Linked DNA regions of Elephas maximus indicus. The protein of the gene in region 3 interacts with the protein of the main gene of each other region in a pairwise test. Links are inferred from orthologs where the notes say so. Each region holds a gene or a part of one and is shown on either strand. Other genes may lie near its edges.

Region 1 (8,239 bases), on a different chromosome or scaffold from region 3:
GTGCCAGAAGATGAGCTCCTCAGATTGGAAGGCACCCAATATACTACTGGGGAAAGGTTGCCTCCTCAAAGTAGAGGTGACCTTAATGACGTGGATGGAGTAAAGCTTTTCGGACCTTCATTTGCTGAGGCGGCACAACTCAAAATGAGAAGAAACAGCTGCAAACATCCATTAATAATCAGAACATGGAATGTACGACGTACGAATCTAGGAAAAATGGAAGTCATCAAAAGTGACATGGACCACATAAACATCTATATCCTGGGTATTAGTGACCTGAAATGGACTGATATGGCCATTTCCAATTGGACAATCATATGGTTTACTATGCCAGGAATGACAAATTGAAGAGGAATGTTGTCGCATTCATCATCAAAAAGAACATTTCAAGATCTATCCTGAAGTACGACACTGTCAGTGATGGGAAAATATCTATGTGCCTATGAGGAAGAACAGTTAATAGAAGTATTATTTAAATTTATGTCCCAACCACTAATGCCAAAGATGAGGAAACTGAAGATTTTTACGAACTTTTGCAGTCTGAAATTGATCAAACATGCAATCAAGATGGATTGATAATTACTGGTGATTGGCATACAAAGAATCAGTAGTTGGAAAATATGGCCTTGGAGAAAGAAACGACGCTGGAGATCACACGATACAATTTTGCAAGACCAACAACTTCTTCATAGCAAATACATTTTTCAACGACATAAATGGCAACTATACACATGGACCTTGCCCAGTGGATACACAGGAATCAAATCGACTACATCTGTAGAAATAGATGATGGAGAAGCTCAATACCATCAGTCAGAACGAGGCCAGGAGCCAGCTGCAAAACAGACCACCAATTGCTCCTATGCAAGTTCACGGTGAAGCTGCAGAAAATTAGAGCAAGTCCAGGAGAGCCAAAGTATGACCTAGAGTATAAAAACCTGAATTTAGAGAACATCTCAAGTATAGATTTGACTCATTGAACACTAATGACCAAAGACCAGACGAGTCGTGGAATGACATCAAAGACATCATACATGAAGAAAGCAAGAGGTCATTAAAAAGACAGGAAAGAAAGAAAAGAGCAAAATGGATGTCAGGAGAGACTCTGAAACTTGCTTGTGAACATAAGAGTAGCTAAAGTGAATGGAAGAAACGATGATGTAAAGACCTGAACAGAAGATTTCAAAGTGTGGCTCAAGAAGAAAAAGTATTATAATGACATGTGCAAAAACCTGGAGGGGAAGAACATGTTCTGCATTTCTCAAGCTGAAAGAACTGAAGAAAAAAACTCAAACGTGGGTTTGCAATACTGAAGGATTCTACGGGAAAATATTGAACGATGCAGACAGCATCAAAAGAAGATGGAAGAAATACACAGGTTCACTGTACCAAAAAGAATTTGTCAATGTTCAACCATTTCGGGAGGTAGTATATAATCAAGAACCAATGGTCCGAGCTGCACTGAAGGCACTGGCAAAAAACAGGGCTCCAGGAATTGATGGAATGCCAAGTGAGTTGTTTCAACAAACTGATTGCGCATTGGAGGTGCTCACTCGTCTATGCCAAGCAATTTGGAAGACAGCTTCCTGGCCAACCAACTGGAAGAGATCTATATTTGTGGCCATTCCAAAGAAAGGTGATCCAATGGAATGCGCAAAGTATCAAACAATATCACACACAAGTAAAATTTTGCTGAAGAGCATTCAAAAGCAGTTCCAGCAAGATGTGATAGGGAGCTACCAGAAGTTCAAACTGGATTCAGGAGAGGTTACAGAACTAGGGATATCATTGCCAACATCAGATGGATCTGGGCTGAAAGCAGAGAATAACTGAAAGATGTTTACCAGTGTTTTTTTTGTCTATGCAAAGGCATTCAACTGTGTGAATCATAACAAGTTATGGATACTATTGTGAAGAATGGGAATTCCAGAACACTTACTTGTGCTCATGAAGAACTTGTACATAGCCCAAAAGGCAGTCATTCAAACAGAACAAGGGGATACTGCATGGAAAAGTGTGTCAGGGTTGTATCCTTTCACTATACTTATTCAATCTATATGCTGAGCAAAGAATCCAAGAAACTGGACTATATGAACAAAGTGGCATCAGGACTGGAGGAAGATTCATTAACTACCTCTGATATGCAGATGACACAACTTTGCTTTCTAAAAGTGAAGAGGACTGGAAGCACTTACTCATGAAGATAAAAGACTACGGCCTACAGTATGGACTGCACCTCAACACAGAGAAATCAAAAATCCTCACAACTGGACTAATAAGCAACGTCATTAAAAATGGAAAAAAGATTGAAGTTGTCAAGGATTTCATTTTACTTGGATCCACGATCAATGCCCATGGAAGCAGCAGTCAAGATATCAAATAAAGCACTGCATTAGGCAAATCTGCTACAAAAGACCTCTTAAAAGTGTTAAAAAGCAAACATGTCACCATGAAGACTAAGACACCTGACCCAAGTCATGGTATTTTCAATTACCTCATATGCATGTGAAAGTGAACAATGAATAAGGAAGACTGAAGAAGAAATAATGCCTTTGAATTATGGAGTTGCCGAGAAATATTGACTATACCATGGACTGCGAGAACAAACAAATCTGTATCTTGGAAGAAGTACAGACAGAATGCTCCTTACAGGTGAAGATGACAAGACTTCATCTCGTGTATTTTGGACATGTTATTAAGAGTGACCAGTTCCTGGAGAATGACATCATGCTTGGTAAAGGAGAGGGTCATCAAAAAAGAGGAAGACCCTCAATGAGACGGATCGACGCAGTGACTGCAACAATGGGTTCAAGCATAACGACGACTGTGAAGACGGTGCTTTGCTCTGTTGTACATAGGGTTGCTATGAGTGGGAGCCAACTCGATGACATCTAACAACAACAAAAAAACAGACAAACATAAACACCTTGAAAGCAGCAAGAACCAACTTATCACATACAAAGTATCCTCAATAAGATTAATAGCCAATTTCTCAGCAGAAACCATGGAGATAAGGCAGTGGGATGACATTTAAAGTCCTAAAGGAAAAAAACTACCCTTTAAAAATGAAGGAGAAATTAACATATCCCCAGATAAACAAAAGCTAGTTTGTTGCTAGTAGACCTGGCCTATAAGAAATGTTAAAGAGAGTCTTTAGGCTGAAATGAAAGAACACTAAACAGTAACTCAAAACCATATGAAGAACTTTATAAAGGTGCATTTTCAAGTCAGCATGGAAAGGATTGTTTTCAAATTAATAAATGTTTTTGGGTCACTTGACTGTTACATTGGGAAAAATGAAGTTAAGTAATTTACAACATATCAAAAACAAATTTCAGATGTAAAAACTAAACCTATAAAAGAATTAGAAAATGTTATAAAGAACTACTTCTATAATCCTGGTGAAGGTCTCTCCAAGCCTTCTAAGACTGATGGATTAGATATCTTCAGGGTGAAACAATGTTAAAACACAAGTGACAAGACACTGAAAAAAATGTATGCCACACATAAATCAGACAAAGAAATTAGATGAGGACATGGAAATATGAAGAAGTTAGAATATTCAGTAACATAAAGTAGTTCAGTATCAACCACACACAGGATACATGTCTTTACATAAAATAAGGTTGCAGAGATAAATTAGCTAGCTAGCTGCCATGCAGTTGACTCCAACTCACGGCAACTTTACGTACAACTGATGGCTGGGGAGTGCATTATTGTGGCTACTGTGCCAATCCACTTTACTGAGGGTCTCCCTGTCCCTCACTGGCCCGGTGATTTATGAAACACGAAGTCCTTCTCCAGCGATTGATCCCTCCTGATGACGTGTCTAAACAAGGAAGTCGGACAGTTCTATTGTGATCCATACGGTTTTCATTGACCGATTTTGAGAAGTAGATTGCCAGGCCTTTCTTCCTAATCTGTCTTTTTCTGGAAGCATTAGACCACAGGAGATCCTGCTGGTATTTTGAAAACCGTTGGCATAGCTTCAAGCATCATAGCAACACCCAAGCCACATTATAACAAACTGACAGAAGGTGGTCAACCCCATGGCAGCTATCTATCTAAGCTAGGTGATTTGGGTGATTATTCTCTACCTTTTCCTGAAATTTTCCAGCTATTCTTACAACAATTGCGTGTTACGTTTGTAATTAAAATTTAAGTTATTGACCCGGAACAAAAAAGTCTGGACTGCCATACATTGTTCCCTGTTCGGGGTGTTTATATTTCACCAGTTTTACTTGAGGGTATGACGGGGAAGCACAAGGTTTTTTGCTTCCTTTTTGTCACCACAATACTTATTACAAAACTGAGTCCTTATCAGACATTAAAAAATAAATGCTCACAGATTGGATAAAACAATATTGACCCAGTAGGTGTGGGAGATTTGGGTGCTAATACATGGGCACGTTACACTTCCTCATTACAGACTTCCCCCTATCCTCTACCCCAGGGCCATCACCATAACTCATCCCACTGGGTCAGTACAAATTATTACGTGCAACAATTCATTCCTGGCGCGCGCGTCAGATTGACTCCAGCGTCTCCACGTCCGTGGCTCCTCCCGCCGCCCCGTCCGCTGGCTGTGTTGTTATCACGTGTCCTGGGCGGGCCCTGACGTCAGGAGCAGGGGGAGGGTCTGCGCACGCGCAGGAAAGGGGGCGGGGGACTCGGCTTGTTGTGCTGCTGCCCGAGAGCCACAGACGGTCCTGCAGCGGGCGCAGCTCCTACAGCCACTGACAATGTCTTCTAATTTAGTAGAGCAGCCGCCGCCCCTGCACAACAACAACAACAACAACTGCGAGGAAGGCGAATCGCCTTTGCCACCGCCAGCCGGCCTCAACAGTGAGTGCTGGCCCGGCGGGATTGGTAAAGGGGATGGGGGAGGAGGCGCTGGTCTGGCCGCCACCACAAGCTTAGCGCGGGGGGTAAGGGGGACCAGAAGGCAGCTTATTGGTTAAGGCCGAGGATGTTCAGGTGACTGACGGCTCCCCTCACCTGTCAAGATGAGGTGCTCTTGTCTCCCTTTTCGCCTGTCTCTTCTACCTTCTCGGATATTGAGTTGGGTCCTGCTTCTGTTCAGGGTTAGGGAGTGCAGGTGGGTGGGAAGAGACGAGGGTTGGGACGCCCAGCGAGCTGGTAGACGAGGCGCTTCCACCTGTGGTGCGTCCGCTGAAGCGGAGCCAATCGAGGCCTGGAGGAGGCGGGCGTTGGGGCGCTGGGAGGAAGGAAAGGGCGAAGAGGGTGGGCGGAGCGGGCCGCGGAGGGGACGTGGGAAGGGATGGGGACGTGCGGCGGGGCCGCCGGGGGATGGACGGACGGGCGGCGGGCGGCGGGCGGCAGCGGAGGGGAGGAAGGCTGGGGGACGTGGCCAGGGTCAGGTGTACAATGGAGCTTAAGCCTTTGCATCACTAGCTAACGTCGCTGAATTGGGCTTCCCCAGGTTTCGGAACGTGAGCCCTCCGGGTACGTTCTTTTGTTACCACGGTCGCGTCAGGAAAATAAATTCATTTGGTAATTTAATGGTTACTTGAATCACGTGTGGAGGCGAGGAAGCTGTGTTACTTTTTTTTTTTTTGGATATTTTTCAAAGTTGCTGAAGTAATGTTTTTAAACGACTAGATTGTCTGCCAGAAAAGCTGTTTATAAACATCCTCTTGAACTGCACAAATCACAGTCTGAGGAAATGAATTTTCAGATATGGAATTATAAACACTCATACACATGAATAGTTGAAAGTTAATGAGCGATATTGAGTTACGACCAAATACAGTTGCTTCATAATATTCTGGTGCTCAGACATCTCGTCGTAATGTTATTTCCAGTTGTTTAATTTAGAGCTCGGAGTCGTCTTAAAAGGTTCTTGTTTTTCTGTAATGCATCTCGTATGACAGCGATAGTTAGGGCAGTTAACATATGGCTAAAGGAAATCGTTTAAACATCACTTGGATGCTTAAAAGGCTTGCAGTATTTTTCACCCATAAAGAGGTTCTTCCAACAAGGCCTAAAAATTATTTTAGGGAAAGAGAGTTCCCACAAACATGGGAATAGAATTTGAATATTTTAAGACGTATTCATTGTTTATTGCTTCTTCTCCATCTTTTCTTTTTTAATTTAATTTTATTTATTTTTATTGTTGAGAATATACACAGCAAAAACACCAATTCAGCAGTTCTGCATGTGCAGTATTCTCACAGTAAATTAGGATTAATTTATGTGCCTTTAAATGTTACTTGCATTAGATATTAACATGCATTCTTAACTGATTACCATTTTTTCGCATATACTCTTAGAAGCATGGAATTTAGAATGGAAAGAGATGTTTTAGAAATAACTGTCCCCTCTTATTTACAGGGGAGCCCTGGTGGGATAGTAGTTAAGTGCTACGGCTGCTAACCAAGAGGTCAGCAGTTTGAATCCGCCAGGTGTGCCTTGGAAACTCTATGGGGCAGTTCTACTCTGTCCTGTAGGGTCTCTATGAGTTGGAATCGAAGCCACCGCGGTGGGTTTTCTTACTTACAGGTGAAAAAACAGATTAGAATTTACTTGAAATAAAGTGTTTTGCCCAGGCTGGGATTTAGAGTCTAGGTATTGACTGTCACCCAGTCTAGTACTCCTTTGGTACACTTCTTTTTCAGTGGTCCAAAATCCTCGAACCATGTGTGTCTTATTCTCTCAGCATGCTATTCTACTCGGTGTACAGAGGCAATCTAGCTTTTCAGTATTTTATTTCTTAATTGTCTTCACTATTGTCCTGTGATACTTAAAAGTTATCTATTTGGTTAATATGTGTACATGATTTCACAGAAAACAAAGGGATTTTAATTTTCCTGTGACCATTTAATAAAAAAATGAGATTGAGCTCTGTGTGATTGTTTGTGCCTGTGTCTGACAGACCTATGAGGTGTTTGACGTCCTTGGCCAGTCAGTGGTTGCCCCTCAGTGGTTGCTACGTTTACATTAGCTGTTATTGAAGTGGAAGGATAATCAACCTACAGATGATATCAGAATGTTTCTATGGGAAATCTGCTAGATAAAAAGTATATTTGGTGTGGAATGAGCTTTTAAAAGTTACTGAAAAACTTTCTAGATAATGCCATGTTTAATTACTCCCCCTTGCCTCTTACTCTGCTCTTTTTTTTTTTTTGTGGGGGAGCTCATTACACAACGCTGAACCGAACAAAACAAGAGTGAGCAAATCAGCGTATTCAGGCATCTAAAAACTATCCAAATTGCAGATAAGTTGAAATACTTTGTTGAGTAAAGTTGCGCAACTATGAAAAACAGATTAAACTCATTGTACAGATTATCTCTGGTTTGGGATGTTATCTTTAGTTCAAGAGTCAAAAGCAGAGTTTTAACAGCAAATTATTGAAATATTTGGAATAATGAAACCCTGATTTTTATTTTTTAATTTTTTTTTTACTTTACTGCTATAGGTGGGCCATTCACTTTCATTACGTATTAGTGGGCAAATATCTGAACTACTTCCAAAATTATCTTTCCAATTGCTGATTCTTAAGAAAAACATCAAGTTAGTTAATATTTGTATAGTAGATTTATATCATGAGTTTTGGTAGGTAGTATAAGAAAAATCAAGGTAGTAGCATAATTCTTGTTTAAAGTGGGAATAAACCAGTCCACCCCCCTTTTTTTTTTCTTTTTAAACATCTTCAACCATGATGTACTTGCTTCCTGAATGTGGTGAGAAGGCTGTGACACATAAAACTTCACTGCGTTGTAATACTCTTGAAAATATACGTAACGTATATATAAGTACCAACTTCTTCAAAAAGACTAAACTTTTTTTTTTGTTTTAGAGAATGCCAATAATTATTCTTGGTCTGGATTCTAGCGTCAGATCCTTAAAATAAAGGCTTTGAGGAAAGAGGATAAAGTATAATGAAATATGTCACCCCTGGTTAAATGAGTGTTGTAGTACCTTTCAGGTTGGGGGTGGAAAATGAGTCAAAATACTTCTTCCTTCTCTCCACTTCCTTTAAGCCACTTTATTCAAGAGAAGAATTGAACAGGTGATTTTAAAACTGTAAAGAATGTACACCATACAGTCATAAATGTAGTCACAATTATTTGACTAACCTTCAGGACTACCCTTAGAGAATATAGAAACATGGATTCTCTGAAAATCTGTTAACAATTCTCAAAAGCTTAAACTGGGAAATATGTCATTGTCTATGTACAAACTGATATAAGAGAACAATTATAAGTATCTTGGAGT
Region 2 (8,714 bases), on a different chromosome or scaffold from region 3:
TTGGGCTAGAGAAACTGACGTTGAACTTCCCGCCTCCAGAGCTGTGAAAAAATAAATTTCTGTTGTTTTAAGCCACCAAGTTTGTGGAGATTTGTTACAGCAGCCACAGGAAACTAAATGACTAGGACACAGGAAGCATGAACTAGAAAAGAAAAAAAGCAGTAAACTGAACTTTGTCAAAAATGAAAACGTTGCTCTTCAAAACACTCACGGAAAAGAAAAGGCAAATCACAGACTAGGAGAAAATATTTGCAAACACTGTCTGACAAAGGACTTGTATATAGAATACAAGAAGGACCCTTACAACTAAATAAGACAACCTAATTAAAATATTGGCAAAAGATTTGAAAAGATGCTTCACTAAAGAAGATACACAGTTGGCAAAATAACCTAAACATACACTATCATATGTTCTAACCATTTCAGTTCTACCTATTTATCTACGAAAAATGAAAAAACATGTCTACACAATGACTTGCACATGAATGTTCACAGCAGTTTTACTTGTAATAGGTAAAAACTAGAAACACCCCAAATGTCTATCATCAAGTGAACAGATAAACAAATTTTAAGTACATCCAGACACCCAATAAAAAAGAACAAACTATTGATACATGTGACATTTGCTGAATCTCAAAATAATTACGCTGAGAGAAGAGAAACTTTTAAAGGTAATGGATATGATTGATCTAATGACTCAACACGATCCCATTCAAAATCTCATCACTTTTTAAAAACATTATCTTTATTGTAGTGATGGTTTCATGGGTGTATACATATGACAAAGTCACCCAGCTGTACACTTTAATGTTTTTTGCATACAGTTATAAAATCAGGAAAGCTTTTTTTAAAAACTGTGTACACTTAAGGTCTCACAACGCCTCTGCCTTCTAGTCGCTGCATCTCTTGTTCTCTTCTGTCATTTTTTTCTTCCAGGTTGCTAGTAACTCTGGTCCACTGAGAAACCAACTCCAGTTCTGCTGTGAGTTTATTCTCGTTTATATTTCTTTACTGTCATTTCAATAGGATTTTGAGACGCTAAATAAATGTGTTCAGTCAGCCATCTTCCTTCTCATTTAGGTTTTGGTACACATCAAACTTTATTACCTCCATTTCTTTTTTAAAAAAATTGTGAAAAATATCAAACATAAACAAAAGTTGATGCAATAAAATTAACCACTATGTACTTATTACTCAGCTTCAACAATACTCAACTCATGGTTTCACCTATACCTTCATCTACTACCCCTGTCCTGTGTTATTCTGAGGCAAATTCCAGATATAATATTTTACCCATAAATATTTCTGCATGTACCCCTAAAGCGTAAGAACTCTCAAAAAAAAAAAAAACCCATGACAAACAATGAAATGCAAAATAGTGATATTTTAATTCTTACATTCAATCTTAATTTATTAGCTGAAATACTCCGATAAAGAGAAACTTCCCCTCATTTACAAACTGGTTACTCAGTGACCTTTATTTCTAAATTGACTGCAAGTTCTTTGGATTTTTTTCTTTTACAAAAGGGTACAAAATATAGAAGAGGTTCCTAAGTGGCAATTAGAATGATTTTTTGGGGGCGACGAGAGCTTTCCTTTTGTAGCTAATGTCTAGAATTATTGTAGCGTACACTCATTTGCACAGTGTGTAATTTCCACTTTTGAGAATTCATTTTTTTAAGTGACTCAATACACAGTCCATACAGAAAACAAGACCCATGGGTGACCAAAATAAACGTGTATTCTGTGTATTGCTATGAAAGCTCACATATAGACATGCAATCAAGTTTGTTAACTATATTATTCAAACCTTTTATATCCTTTTTTATATCCTTGCTATTTACCTTTTCTTATTATTTTTCATTTTCTTCTCAAGTTGTTTGAAAGTGAAGGGCCTATGTCTAGTCTTCTAGGGCTCATCATTATACTTTAAATTTATGGTTAAGCTTATACTTTTTCTATGTACACATCAATATCTAGAACCTTCCCTTCCTAAACAAACCAAGACCTGTAATGCATACATTGACTCTCCCGCACCCGATGTCTAATTGAAATCCTCTGGTATATTAGTGTAAGATTATATTTTAGTTTATTTGGTTTTCTCAGGAATAACTTATTAATAATTGCCTTAGAATTCTAAGCAATACTGCAACAATTATTTTATATTTAGCTATGATGGAAAGAGGTGGATGGGAGACACCTGGCCAGGAAGCTGAAGGGTATGCGAACACATTGCTAGGTGCAGGGACTCCTCTCCCCTGAAGAAGCCTTAAATTAATTACTCTCTGAGCCCTACTGCTTACTCCAGGACAAAGTCTCTCTTACTGAGGAATTTCAAGTTGGAGGTTGGTAGGGTACCTTTCCTTTTCACTTAAAGGCAGAGGAATCATGAGATCTGGTAGCATTTCAAGTTATCCTTCAAGTTCACATTTTCAATCTCCTCTTAGTAGACCAGCTGGTTTAGTGAGAGAATTCTAGGGCCCTCTTCCCCTTTCCCCTCATCTGTCACTAAACCAAAAGAAAAAAAAAAAAAACCAGTTGCCATTGAATCAATTCCAATTGATGGCAACCCCATGTGTGCAGAGTTGTTGGAACAGCACTCCACTGGGTTTTCCAGTCTGTGACCTTTTGGAAACAAATCACCAGGCCTTTCTTCTGAGGTGCCTGCGGGTGGGTTTGCAGCCAATCTTTTTGCTACTAATCCAGTGCTTAACCGTTTCTACCACCCAAGGACTCCTTATCTGTCATTAGGGCACTTCTAGCTCCCTCTGCTCAACCCTTTCTTAATTACTCTGAGCCTTTCAGTGACTGGGTGTCCTTCCGCTGCAGCTGCACCTGTTTACCTGTGTTTCATTTGGTTCAGCTAGTTTCTTTCTTAGGAAGGGCCAGATCCCCTGGTAGCTTATAATGTAACAGCACTTGTGATGCCCCCTGTGAACCTGCAGCAGAGATTCCTTTAAGTATCATCATCAGGGAACATTTTTTGGTGTACTGCCCTTCCTTATTTACCCTTGCGTTCACTCCAAACTGGAAGTAACTTCTTGTGTCTTCTGGCTGCCCCCACACTACCCACTGTTTACAACCTATTCTTCCAAGTTGGAGCCCTGGTGGCACAGTCGTTGAACATTCAGGTGCTAACCAAAAGGCTGGCAGTTCAAATCTACCAGCCGCTTCTTGGAAGTTCTATGGGACAGTTCTACTCTCTCCTGTAGTCACTATGAGTTGGAATCAAGTTGATGGCAATGGGTTTGGTTTTTGGTTTTGGTTCTTCCAAGTTAGCTCCTTTTCAGGTCCCTACACCCTACCTCCCTACACCATAGCTCTGCCAAAAGTTAAATTCCAACCCTCAAGAAAATCAGCACCTCTGGGGACTCCCTGCCTTCGAACCCAGTTCAATAATGAAAATATTTGGCGACTTACATGGACCAAGCACAGACTCCTCCCAAATACTGGACCAACTCTATTCCTGCTTCTAAATGCCTGGTTCTTCACCAACTACCTGCTCTCTATTGCCCCATCATATAGTGACAGTCCTATTCTCCACTGTTGCTATATAAAATAAAATCTCAAATTCATTTCTTAAAAAAACCTGCATATATGAGGTAAAGGGCAACAGAGATAATGAAAAGGGGTTAGTGAATCCTAAATTTAGGGACAGAGAACAGATTTACTTCAATGAAAGAGTCATAAAATGGGGTACATGTTACTCACAGATTGCTGGAGGGAATTGAGGAGGCACTGTTGTGCACGCTGGCATCAATTCTGACTCATAGGCAGGCACTATAGGACAGAGTGGAACTGCCCTATAGAGTCTCCTCGGCTGTAATCTTTACAGAAGCAGACCACCAGGTCTTTTCTCCTGGATGGGTTCCACAGGCCCACCTTTCCTTAGCAGCCCCAGCGCTGAAGCACTGGGCCACCAGGGCTCCAGGGGAGGGGCTGACAGATGGGAAATGGCCTGGGGGTGGACACAAGTGAAGGACTTCCAGAGGAGAGGGAGAGGAGACTGAGTGGAGAGGCATACATTTGAGGACGGGGGGCTAATGGGTACTCCCCAGTCCTGCTCGGCTGGGACATTCCAAAGTCCCTGTGCCGCAGACAGGGGTGTGTGTTGCGGTGGGGGTTAGGAAAGGCCCCGCGCAGGAGGCATTCCCAGGGAAGGCAGCTTTCCCAGTAGGGGAACCTGGGGGCACTGGGGGAGGCACCAGCCAGGAGTTGGTGTGTGCAAGGGGCTTCCTGGGAGGGACTCTACAATTCGTGTCTGTGTGAGCAAGCTGCTTTCTGTCCACGCAGCGCTGGATCGCGGCCTTCCAGAACACTCCGGGAACGGCCGGAGTACTCGAATGGAGACCCGCAGGCTGCGACCGATGGTCGGAGAGGAACGGCGGCTCCCGGACACCTCTCTCCACAGCCCCTTTCCTCCCCGCCTGATAGCTGGGGACAAGCCCTTTCAGGCGACACTTACAGCTCCGCTCCTGACAGGCTGGCAGAAGCCGCCGGGTGACCTGGGCCTCACCTCTGGGCCTCCTTCCTCCCCGGTGAACGAGGGTGGGCTGTCGGGGCCCTGCGCGGTCGGCAGCGCACCCTGGGACTCAGCTGCAGTCACTACCAGGTTGCTCGCCCTACCTGTGCCTCAGTTTCCACACTCTTAACACGGGAAACGGCTAGTTCTGGCCCAGAGAGGGCGGTGGGAGTCAGCGCGGCCATTACCGCGGCGGCGAGCGTTTGCTGCCCTGCTGCCGCTTTCCTTGGGGAGCAGGGACCCCAAACAGCTCGAGGCCCGCCTCGCGCACCGCCTGCGGCCCCACACGCCCCAACCACGCGCCCCAACCACGCGCCCGACCCTCCGCTCAGGCGCCGGCGTCGCAGCCCAAACCGAACGGGCGCGGCCACGAGGTCACGTGGCTCCGCGGCGCTCCGTCCGGCCCCGCCCCGCCCCGCCCCCGTCGGGAGCCGCGCCGCCCGTCCGCCTGTTTACCTCAGGCTGTCGCAATCGCGGGCGCAGGACCCGGATAGAGGCCGCCCGCGCCTCAGACTGCCGCCCCGCCCCCGCCCCCGCGCACGCGCCGCACGCGCCGCACGCGCGCAGGCCCCGCCCCGCGGCCAATCAGCGACGCAGCCGCTGAGTCCGTGGCAGCCCTGCCCCGCGCACTCAGTCCGTCAGTCCGTCAGTCCGTCAGCTGGCGGCGCAACAGGAACCTGCGAGACGCGCTGTGCAAGCGGCCAGGCCGACTCCCACTCCCCCGGCTCCAGCCCATCGGCCTAAGGCGCCGTCGCGACCCGCAGCCCGGCTCGTGGACCCGACCGGCCACAGCCGCTCTCCGGCGCCATGTCGCAGAGCGGTGTCCCCGGGCTGCAGGAGGAGAACCTGCAGGGTGAGGCCGCGTGGCGCGGAAGTCGGGGCGCAGTGTGTGTGGGGGCGTCGGGGGAGTCGGCCGAGGGGGCGGGGAAGTGGGGCTCGGGGGAGGCTCGGCAGAGGGCCGGGGCAGCGGGGCTCGGGGGAGGCTCGGCCGAGGGGGCCGGGGAGTGCGGCCCGGGGCCGCCCGGTTTCTGCAGGAGTTAAGGACTTGCAGCCCTCGGGGGCGCGGGGTTCTGGTGGGGTTTGTGTCCTGGAGCTTCCGAGCCGGGCAGGGACGGCTAGCGAAAGGCAAACCCCGCAGGTTTGCCGCTCGAGGAGATGCCGTGGTGCGCAGTGGGCTTTGCTAACGAGTGGACGTAGTTGCCATCTGGTGCTCCGGGGTGGGCTTCGGTTGTGGCTCGTCGAAGGGCAGGAACGAGCTGTGCTTCAGTGCCAGGCGGCGTGTTATCAGCCCAGCGCCCCCAGTTACGAACTGTGTCCGGCGCGTTCAAAAGAGGCCCTGCTGGAAACCGCCTTGGCGGGTGGGCGGCCCGTCCTGACCCCCCCCCGGGCGTCGCTGGCGGAGCCCCGCGGCGGGCGGTGTGGCTGGAGTTGCCTCTGGGGCGCCAGGGGCCTGATTGGCGACCGAGTCTGCAGGGTGGGTCCAAAGCTTGCTCGGCCTCCAAGAAGGCGGGGGTGGGGGGGACGGAATGAATCTGGGGTCAGGAGCTGACCACAAGTCTAAATTCTCCAGCTCAGGCCAACTTAAAATTTCTCCTTAAAGTAAAATCACCATTTAACGGATGAACCTAATAGTTTTAACATTTAATAGTTTAGGCCAATATTGGGTTAAAAAAAATAATAAACCTGTTGCCTGTGAGTTCATTCCGACTCACAGCGACCCTATAGGACAGAGCAGAACTGCCCCATAGGGTTTCCAAGGCTGTAAATCTTTACGGAAGCAGACTGCCCCTATCTGTCTGCCACGGAGCAGCTGGTGGGTTCCAACGGTTGACCTTTCAGTTAACCACCGCGCCACCAGGGCAACGCTGGGGCAACTGGCCTCTTTCCTTCTGGCCCTGTTGACATGATCCTGGGGGCCCCAGAGTTGGACTAGGAGACTGGTGTCTGCTGACCCTTGTACTCTCTGAAGCAAGAGTTGTCTAAACAAAACGAGCATGTAAATAAGCTTTGGAGAGGACTGTTGAAACCTCTGATCAAACCCTTCGGTTATTCATATAAATTACTGAGCTGCTAATTAAATTTTCATTTGTTCTGAAAACAAGAATTTACTGGGCAACACTTAATTAGCCTAATGCATTGTATGGTATGTATCTAAAAACTACAACCACACTTTAAAAAAATCTTGTAATTCATAGTATTGTTTTTAAAGTTAAATATTGACTAATTCCTTCTTTGAAACAGATGGAGTTTGTTTTTTTCTCTCTGTATTTTCTCATAAGATCCCAGGGATGTTTGCCTTCATCTTTTGCCCAGAAATCACCGATTTTCTAACCATCAAACTATTTTATTTCTGACATTGAATCTTTTACTTACTGATTCAGACCATCAGACCCCAAATTTACAGTCTCTGGAAGAGTCGCATGGGGGGTGGGTAGGGGCAGTTAGCTTGCCTGTTGGCTGTCTTATAAACCACACTGCTGAGTCTTTGGTGACACAGGATGGCCAGTTCAGGAGTTAAAAGGTTTTTGTTCTGCTTATTCTATAAAAAGATGGTTACATACAGTGGAAACTCATGTAAAGATTTTTTCGGCTGTTCCCTGAGTGTACGTGCAGCGGGACACTTGCTGGCCATCCAGCCCAGTGAGTCACGTGGGAATATAGAGCTGCCCTAACAAATGGGAATCTGGGCTTGAATCAGGTGCAGCTGAGGCAGCGCTTGTCCTGCTCTGTTCTGATTGGATTACCTCTTGTTTACCTCTCAGAAGCCCTGGTGGCACAGCAGTTAAGGTGCTCGGCTGCTAACCGAAATGTTGGAGGTTCAAAACCCACCAGTTGCTCCTGTAAAGATTTACAGCCTATGGGTTATTTCTACTCTGTTCTATAGGGTCACTCTGAGTCAGAATCGACTCAATGGCAGTGGGTTGGGGTGTTTTTGATGTTTACCTCTGAAGGGACAACGGAGGAACTTAGTAGCCAAACCCATAGACAGAACAGCAAACATCTCCCCCTAGGCTTATATCTTCCCAGAGGAGTGAATAGATAATAAAACTGATTGATCCATTCCCATTTTACCCCTTGGTCCTTTCCAGTCAAAGCTTTTGACTCGGGGGATATTTGAATTTGCATTTCTTTTTCTCCTTAGGTATATTACTATGCACAAAGGAGACAGAATTTTGTGACAATATTGTGCCCCAGTAGCATTTAGGGCAGGGTGGGGGTAGCCGTGGTGCATGACTTACTCCCCAGAAAAACCCACACATTTCAAAGCAGAGCTTCTCGAGAGAACATTTGCTCTGAGAAAGCAGAATTTAATGCCACAAGCTCCCAGCTTTTCACTTAATGCTGTATCTGCAGCTAGTCGGATGGTTCTGTTGTCATAGGCAACCCATCATGGGTGAACCTGTATGACAAGAAATAGAATTTGTATCTCTCTTGGAGAGAAATTATGGCATCTTGCAGTTTTAGAGCTGGAAGGGATTTCAAAGGTCTAGATTCTAACCCAACCTACATTTTACATATGGTCAAAATGAGACCCAGAGATTAAGTGACAGATAAATTTAGGAGGAAATTTACAAATAAGGCAGGCAACAATAATTAAGGGCACATCAAGGACTCTCCATGAAATGCCAGCACAGTGCTTTTGGAGCCTTCCACAGCACTAGCCCAACAAAATGAAGGTTGAGATGAACCAACTCCTGTTTGAAGCCAGTCACCTGAATCATTTACCAGTTGGGTTTATGTTCAAAAGTATTTGTCAGTTGAGTCTCTTTTGTACCTCTTCCAGATAACGTGAGAAGCTTTTAAATATAAAAAGAGCAATTTCCTAGAGCCTACTTTTCCTAGGGAAGAAGCCTTCTGTGTGATTTTGGTAGCTTTGGTTCTCTCCAGTCTTAGCCGCCCTTCTGCCTCAAGCTTTTCTTCTGTAATGCCACACAACATCATGGACATCCCTCTGTTCTGACATTTACCCCACTGTTTTGTAAATTGTTGGTGTGCTTGTCATTTCCCTAGTGGATCGTTTTCAACCCTGGCCTACATCGCTGTTAGCTTCTTCAGAATCTGTTTGCCTGGGCTCTACCCCAGCATTCCAAATCAGAATTTTCAGAGGAGGGTGGGGCCGGGCTTCTGAAAAATTTTGAAAAAGCACCACAGGCTAGTCCTCCTTCATAGCCAGGGTTGAGAAGTATCACTG
Region 3 (7,965 bases):
AGCAACATGCATTCCTTTCTGGAATAAGTTGGAATAATTTGGAATTGCTCAAGTTCACTCAAAGCACTGCTTGCTGTTTGCATCATTTTAACTACACCTTATGGAACTAGGGAAACCCTGGTGGCATAGTGGGTTAAGTGCTACAGCTGCTGACCAAACCGTCAGCAGTTTGAATCCGCCAGGCGCTCCTCGGAAAATTTATGGTGCAGTCCTACTCTCTCCTACAGGGTTGCTATGACTAGGAATTGGCTTGATGGCAACAGGCTTATGGAACTACCTATTTCAGTGTTTAAACAGTAAATTTGAGGTAAGCAATGATAGTATTGTACAGTGATTATAAAAACAAAGAAACAGAATTTGGTCTACTTTAACTGTCATTCTATGTGACCACTTAGAATTTTTATTTATATTGTATAAAATTTTTTGACCTGCAGAGCAACATTTGAAGCCTCTAGAATTGATTCTGAAGGAAAAAGACATGAGCAATCTTGCAATTTCTGAAACTATTGTGAAATAAGAGTTTTATAGATCTCTTGTATCCTTATAAACCTTTTTCCTAAGTTTACGTATATGTTTCTTCAGCAAAATAAACTTTTCAAAATTAAATTGATTAGTCAACGAGAATATATGAAAAATATTAATTTTGACAAAATCATTGACAAATTGGGGAAGGTAAGCTCTAAATCAGAAACTGTAATATTTTTTATTAATGTGATATACATAAATATAGGTGTAAAACTTTCTCCTTTTCCCAGAAGTACATTACTATAATTTAAAAGATTTTACACATATAATTCAAAGTATTTTGTACAATACTATTCATTTTAATTTGTTGAAAAGAAAATGAGGCTCAGATTGTCAGATTCCTCTGAGTGCATAGAAAAGTTGCACAAAGATCATTGACCAATGTGGAATGCACTCGAGAACAGATAGACAGGAACAAAGAGACAAGGTGGCAATACCAAAAAAACAAAACAAAACAAAACCCATTGCTGTGAAGTCAATTCTGACTCACGGTGACCTTATAGGACAGTGCAGAAATGTCCTAAAGTGTTTCCAAGGCTGTAAATCTTTACAGAAGCAGATTGCCACATCTTTCTCCCATGGAGCGACTGGTGGATTCAAACCTAGCACTTTAACCGCTGCACCACCAGGGCTTCTTGATGGCGATATACCCTTGAGTTGATTATGACTTATAGTGACCCTATAGCACAGAGTAGAACTGCCCCCAATAGGCTTTCCAAGGAGTGTCTGGTGGAATTCAAACTGCCAGCCTTTGGGGTAGCAGCCAAGCTCCTAACCACTACCCCACCAGGGCTCCCTACCCAAACCAAAAAATACCAAGCCTGTCGTTGTGGAGTCGATTCCAGCTAAGAGTGACTCTATGGAACAGGGTAGATCTGCTCCATAGAGTTTCCAAGGAGTGCCTGGTGGATCTGAACTGCCAACCCTTTAGTTAGCAGCCAGAGCACTTAACCACTACAGCACCAAGGCGCCATAAAAAAAAAAAAAAAAACCAAACCCACTGCCATCGAGTCAATTTTTGGCTTTAGGTAAAGATAAATCCTTTTCATAATGTGAACTCTGAGTTCACGGTTCACAAATGTTTTGTCACAAAGAGGGTTTGTGTGATTTTATGGGTTTTTGGTTTTATGAATCAGTTTTTTCATCAAATCCCACTGAGAATATGAATTATTATTATTACCTTTTTTTTCTTTTTTTGCCTATTTGGTATTTTGGTTAAGTCCACTTATTTTTCTCCTGTTTCTTACATTAATGTTTAAAAACAAAACCAAACTTGTTGCAGTGGAGTCGATTCTATCTTACAGCAACCCTATAGGACAGAGTAGAATTGCCCCCTGAGTTTCCAAGAAGTGACTGATAGATTCCTGGAACTGCGGAAATTTTGATTAGCAGCCAAGCTCTTAACCACTAACCACAAAGGCCTCCCAAATTAATGTTTAACAGAGAGTATTTTTCTCTGGATATTTAGACCCTCTCCTTTCCCCATCCTTTTAAATGCGGAGGGTTTTCTTATTTTTCCAGTATGTCAAGTTTCGCTGTTCAGTTGTTTGACTGCCTCTCACTGCCATCCAGTGGATTCGGACTCATAGCGGCCCTGTAGGACAGATCTTTACTGAAGCAGACCGCCACATCTTTCTCCTGCTGAGTGGCTGGAAGGTTCAAATCAATGACCTTTTAGTCAGCAGCCAAGCACTTTAGCCGCTGCACAACCAGGGCTCCCAGAATAAAAAACACCAAAGTTTATGTCTATTGCATTTTTCTTTGACAGTTTAGAGAGTCAATTGTTTTTGTGGGATTGAGATTAAATAGAGGAATATAGTCATAGAGAATAAAAGTCATTTCATACAGAAAGACTCTTGTATCAGCGGTCTGCATTGACAGAATAAATCCAGCTTCTCCAATTACTGCCTGGAAGAAGTGTTTCCCTCATCGCTGTTCTTTGGTTCTGTATAGTAGGCTGACCCTCCTGCCTTTAGCCATGATATGGCCTGCTTTCTAAGGGCTCCTTTATAGAACTGAAATACTGAAGAATGTTGGAATTAGACCACACTGCTGCTTTGCAGCACACCTACAAAAAGTTAGTGGAAGTTTAATTTTATGTGTCAACTTGGCTAGACTGTGGTGCCCGTTTTTTTGGACAAACGCTTTTCTAGATGCTTTTATGAAGTAGTTAAACCAAAAAACCAAACCCAGTGCCATCGAGCCGATTCCAACTCATAGTGACCCCATAGGACAGAGTAGAACTGCCCCAAAGAGTTTCCAAGGAGGGCCTGGTGGATTTGAACTGCTGACGCTTTGGTTACCAGCAGTAGCACTTAACCACTATGCCACCAGGGTTTCCGTATGAAGTAGTTACATGTGATTAAATTAGTTACATGCCTCAGGTAAAACAGATTACCCTCCATAATGTGTGTGGGCTTCAACCAATCAGTTAAAGGCCATAAGAGCAAAAAGGGACTTTCTCTTAAGGTGTATTCTTCTTTCAGACTGTAAGTAGACATTTTGCCAGAACCCCTTCACTCTTTATTCTTCCCCATCACCTGACCTATGAATGTTGGTATGTAAGACTGCAGGAATCGCCAGTCTGTTGCCTGACCCACAGATTTTTAATTTTCCAGCCCCCACATCCTGTGAGCAAGCCAATTCCTTAAAAATAAATCTCTCTGCCTCTATTATATAGATACATGTGTATACATAAATATATATATGTGTGTTTGTGAGTATGTATGTATATATATATATGAGAGGCATTAGTGATTCAGTGGTAGAATTCTCACCTTTCATGCAGATCTGAGTTTGATTCTATTCCTGGCCAGGGCAACTCATTCACAGCCAATACCCGTCTGTCAACAGAGGCTTGCATTTAGCTATGATGCTGAATAGGTTTCATGGGGCTTCCAGACTAAGACAGACTAGGAAGGAAAGCCCAGCGATTTACTTCTGAAAATAAGCCAATGAAAATTTTATGGATCACTATGGTCTGATCCTGTTGCATGTGGGGTCACCATGAGTTGGGGTCTGAATCAATGTTAGCTAAAAACAATATCTATATCTACATCTATAAAACCAAACCAAACTCGCTGCTGTCCAGTTGATTCCAACTCATAGCAAACTTACGCCTGTATCTATATGTCTTAATGATTCCGTTTCTCTAGAAAATTGTGGTTAAGACAGGGAGGAACCCACTTATTTACTCTCCAGTGATCTATCTTCCATTTTGATAACATGTTAAACAGATGTGTCCTGCTTTCTACAGTCTTCAAATTCTGATAAATGGATTGGACATCTGTCTAGTTTCTAGAAGTAATAAGTATTTTCCATGTATCATTGATTTAATCATTACTAAGGAAATTGGAAGAGAGGAAAAAATCAAACACTTTGCAGAACATTTCAGTCCCAGAACTCTCCATGAGCTGTTAATTGCTACAGAAATGTACAGAATGGTGAAGGAGGCAGTGTAACCTAACAGAAAGGGCACGAAGTTTGCAGCAGGAGTGAACCTTGCTCTGATTACTTAGTCCACTCTCTTTTATTAACTACTTAAACCTGAGAAAGGGGCTAAATTTTTTCATCTGAAAATAGAAATAATAATACCTACAATATAGGCTCGCTGGAAAACTGAGATTAAATGAGAAAGCAAGTACAATGCACAGTACCTAACACATAGTAATTGTTCAATAAATAATTACTGCTTCGTGTGATTATCCCACGACAAATATCAGATATTTGATCCCTGCTGTTGCTACAATTATGCCCCTCCTAATGGCATCCTTCACACTTTCATCTGTAGGTTTCCTTTGCTAAGCAATAAGCTTCTACACAGGTATTGTTTATCCTTATATTCCCAACTCCTATTGGTTGAAAAGGTGGACATTCAACAAATGTTTATTGAATGAATGCATGAATAAATTAATGAATGTGTAGTCATAATGAAGTCATGGTGAACTCAAGATACCAAGATTGTTTGACAGTTTGCATAAGCCAAGTCATTTAATGATGTCAAAATCAGTTGTGAGAATAATGAAAGCAGCTTGGGACATAAATCTATATATTTTTATTTTATTAGGTCTGAAACAAGGATCTATCTACTATGCTGTGTTATAATTTTCTTAGAATCAGCAGTCTCAGAAATAGGATCTAAAGGTCCGAATGGGAAATTGCCACAGCAGAATTTTCACTTCCTGCTCCTGGGTATCTGGTTGAACTACTCAAGCTCAAGTCGTTAAACCTCAGCGATTGCCCATCCCACATGATTTGACTCATAGGTCCTCTTTTGTCCGTAAGCAGTTGTCTTAGAAGAGAAGAAAGGGCTCTCAGATGCTATGTCTGTCCAGGGACTCAACAGAACAATGGAATATTATTCCAATACAGAAAATTTGGATGAGGATGGATATACTCAATTAGACTTCAACTCTAGAGACAACTCCAGGAGACCTATAGTCTCAAAGAAAGGTAATTTTTCTTTATCCCTTCAATACTTTCATCATCATTATCCAAATCACCGAAGAGAAGAAAATTTGAGACTTGTGATTTATAGGGCTTTTATTAATACTTTTTTAAATGTCAGGTTTTCAGAAGTCACTGAAGATAATTTGAATGTGAGCTAAGTATTTTCTTGTGGCAACTCAGATAATAGCATTCAGTGTCTAATTACTAGTATTTAAATTAATTATGTATGATGACAAAATATTCAGAATTTCTCTTTTCTGTAGGAGTAGACATTTGAACAGTGAGGAGTTGTAATAAATGTGGCAATGAGCAAAAATGAAGGAATTTCAATAAGAGTGGTTTATTGCTTGGTTGATAGAAAGGCATAGATTGTAGAATGGAGGTCAAGGAAACTTAAAGAAGTGTATAAGAACATCAGGATATAGCAGATAAGAAAGCGAATGATAAAAAAAAAAAAAAAAGATGGAAGATCAGTAATGGAAGGCACCGAGGGAAAAAGAATCTGTCATATTCTGGTAAAATGGAAGTCAGATGTAATAGTGTTTATAATATTGATTTGTTATGATTTATGTGATGTGAAATTGATTTGGCTTATTGATTTAATTAGCTTTTAATCAAAGGGAAGTTCTTGATATACCGGTGAAGGAAAATACACATGTTAAAGGAAGAGATTCCTTTAGTGACAAATGAGTCTTAAAATATAAGAAGGTGAAATACGAAGGACATAAGAAAAACCCATCTTTTCATAGAATTAATAATTTAGCCTCCTCTATTAGTTTCCTGGAAACCCTGGTGGTATAGTGGTTAAGAGCTATAGCTACTAACCAAAAGGATGGTAGTTCAAATCCACCAGGTGCTCCTTGGAAATCCTATGAGGCAGTTCTGTTCTGTCCTGTAGGGTCGCTATGAGTTGGTATTGACTTAATGGCAACAGGTTTGGTTTTTTTTTTTTTTTATTATTAGTTTCCTATTTGAAAATCCTATGAAATTCTCTTATTACTTATTCTCAGTTAAAGGCAGAGATAGGTTCTTAGTGTGTCAATGTTAACACAAAATGGGTTCCATGTTATATCGGGAGAGAGATTATTGACAGGTTTTGGCATAAGAATTTGCTCTCTTCTGCTTTCTTGTTAGTCACATTGCACAATTATTTTTGTCTCACCACTTATGTAATTCTTTCCTTGAGCAATCTACTGGGGAAGAGTGGAAAAACTGAGTGAGGCAAGAGGGAGGAAGGCATGCATGTGTTTATGTGTATGCGTGGGCAAACACTGAGTTACCTACAGTGTGCTAACAGTATTTAAACTAGGTGCTTTTACTTATGTAAACCAATGCAATCCCCACAACAATCCATTGAAGTATTCTTAGTCCAGTTTTCAATAAATAATAATGAAAAACCAGAGGGGGTAATTTGCTCAAGATCCTGCAGCAAATAAGTAAAAAGAGAAGGTTCCATATTTTGATTTTGCCACCCTTGGTAACCACTGTTCTTTCCCCTACATTAAGCTCCCTGCTTAAGGAATAAGTGGGATTTCAGGATTCCTAGCAGTGACAAGACCTGTAGCTGACTTTGTGGAACTGAAATTAAGAATGGATACATATCAAAGCACTGTGCCCAAATTACATGTCCAGGGCTTGAAGAGGCATGCTAAAGGTGTATAAAAAATTAGGCTAGTACTAGATGATTAGATTATCTCAAAAACAGTGACTAATGAATGGTTCACTTTGGAATTTGCCAGATTTTGATGAACTGTAGATTTAAAGAGCCTCACAGTCCATCAGGTGTAGTGGTTAAGTGCTACGGCTGCTAACCAAAAGGTCAGCAGTTCGAATCCCCCAGGCACTCCTTGGAAACTCTATGAGGCAGTTCTACTCTGTCCTTTAGGGTCGCTGTGAGTCCGAATCAACAGGTTTGGCTTTTTGGTTTCTCAGTCCATCATTCTAGTCCTTCATTCAACTTCTTCTCCCTCTGGCTCCTCAGGAACTTGTGCTGCATCTCCTCGTTGGTGTGTCATTGCTGTGATTTTGGGGATCTTATTCTTGATAACACTGGTGATAGCTGTGGTTCTGGGCACCAAGGGTGAGTACTGTTAGAGGAGATTAGCAATAATGCATACTTTCAATGAACATTCATTACATGCCAGGCACTTGTTTAAAGGTTTGACATACATAATTTCATTTAACCCTTACATTAACTCTATTGAGTTGGTACTATTAATCCCCATTTTATTTATAAGTGAATTGAGAGATAGGGAGGTAATTTTACTATTCTAGGGTCATGGTGGGGCCATGATTAAAATTTAGATAGGCTGTCTGAGAAACTCCGAGTCCATGGGTTCCACATCAGTGGATTCAACCAACCACAGATTGAAAATATTTGAAAAAAATACAAAAGAAGAAGGAAGGAATACACGGACTCACTGTACCAAAAAGAATTGATGTTCAGCCATTTAAGGAGATTGTATATGATCAAGAACTGATGTTACTAAAGGAAGAGTTCCAAGCTACACTGAAGGCATTGGTGAAAAACAGGATTCCAGAAATTGATGGAATACCAACGGAGATGTTTAGAAAAAACGTTTTCAGTGCCAGAGGTGCTCACTCATCTGTGTCAAGAAATTTGGAAGACAGCTACCTGGCCAATCAACTGAAAGAGATCCATATTTGTAACGATTCCAAAGAAAGATGATCCAACAGAGTGTGGAAATTATGGAACAGTATCATTAATATCACACACCAGTAAAATTTTGCTGAAGATCATTCAAAAGCAGCTGCAGCAGTATATCGACAGGGAAGTGCCAGAAACCCAAACCAGATTCAGAAGAGATGTGGAACCAGGGATATCATTGCTGATGTCATATGGATGTTGGCTGAAAGCAGAGAATACTAGAAAGGTGTTTACCTGTGTTTTATTGACTATGCAAAGGCATTTTACTGTGCGGATCATAACAAATTACAGAGAACATTTCCAAGAATTGAAATTCCAGAACA

What was found. The genes of interacting proteins can lie anywhere in the genome.
Region 1: the proteins of CLEC7A (region 3) and BNIP3L interact in binary tests that used the Homo sapiens proteins (3 or more experiments, as listed by UniProt). The two-hybrid records come from large-scale screens. The link is inferred for Elephas maximus indicus from reciprocal best matches to the Homo sapiens genes CLEC7A and BNIP3L.
Region 2: the proteins of CLEC7A (region 3) and BNIP3 interact in binary tests that used the Homo sapiens proteins (3 or more experiments, as listed by UniProt). The two-hybrid records come from large-scale screens. The link is inferred for Elephas maximus indicus from reciprocal best matches to the Homo sapiens genes CLEC7A and BNIP3.

The regions. Positions count from the first base shown.
Region 1 is NC_064840.1:47,146,311-47,154,549, reverse strand, and holds the start of BNIP3L (BCL2/adenovirus E1B 19 kDa protein-interacting protein 3-like), read left to right. Parts: upstream 1-4,652; 5' UTR 4,653-4,742; coding exon 4,743-4,845; intron 4,846-8,239.
Region 2 is NC_064834.1:81,713,901-81,722,614, reverse strand, and holds the start of BNIP3 (BCL2/adenovirus E1B 19 kDa protein-interacting protein 3), read left to right. Parts: upstream 1-5,127; 5' UTR 5,128-5,329; coding exon 5,330-5,375; intron 5,376-8,714. UniProt on the Homo sapiens protein: Apoptosis-inducing protein that can overcome BCL2 suppression. May play a role in repartitioning calcium between the two major intracellular calcium stores in association with BCL2.
Region 3 is NC_064822.1:67,381,442-67,389,406, reverse strand, and holds the start of CLEC7A (C-type lectin domain family 7 member A), read left to right. Parts: upstream 1-4,769; 5' UTR 4,770-4,847; coding exon 4,848-4,977; intron 4,978-6,955; coding exon 6,956-7,054; intron 7,055-7,965.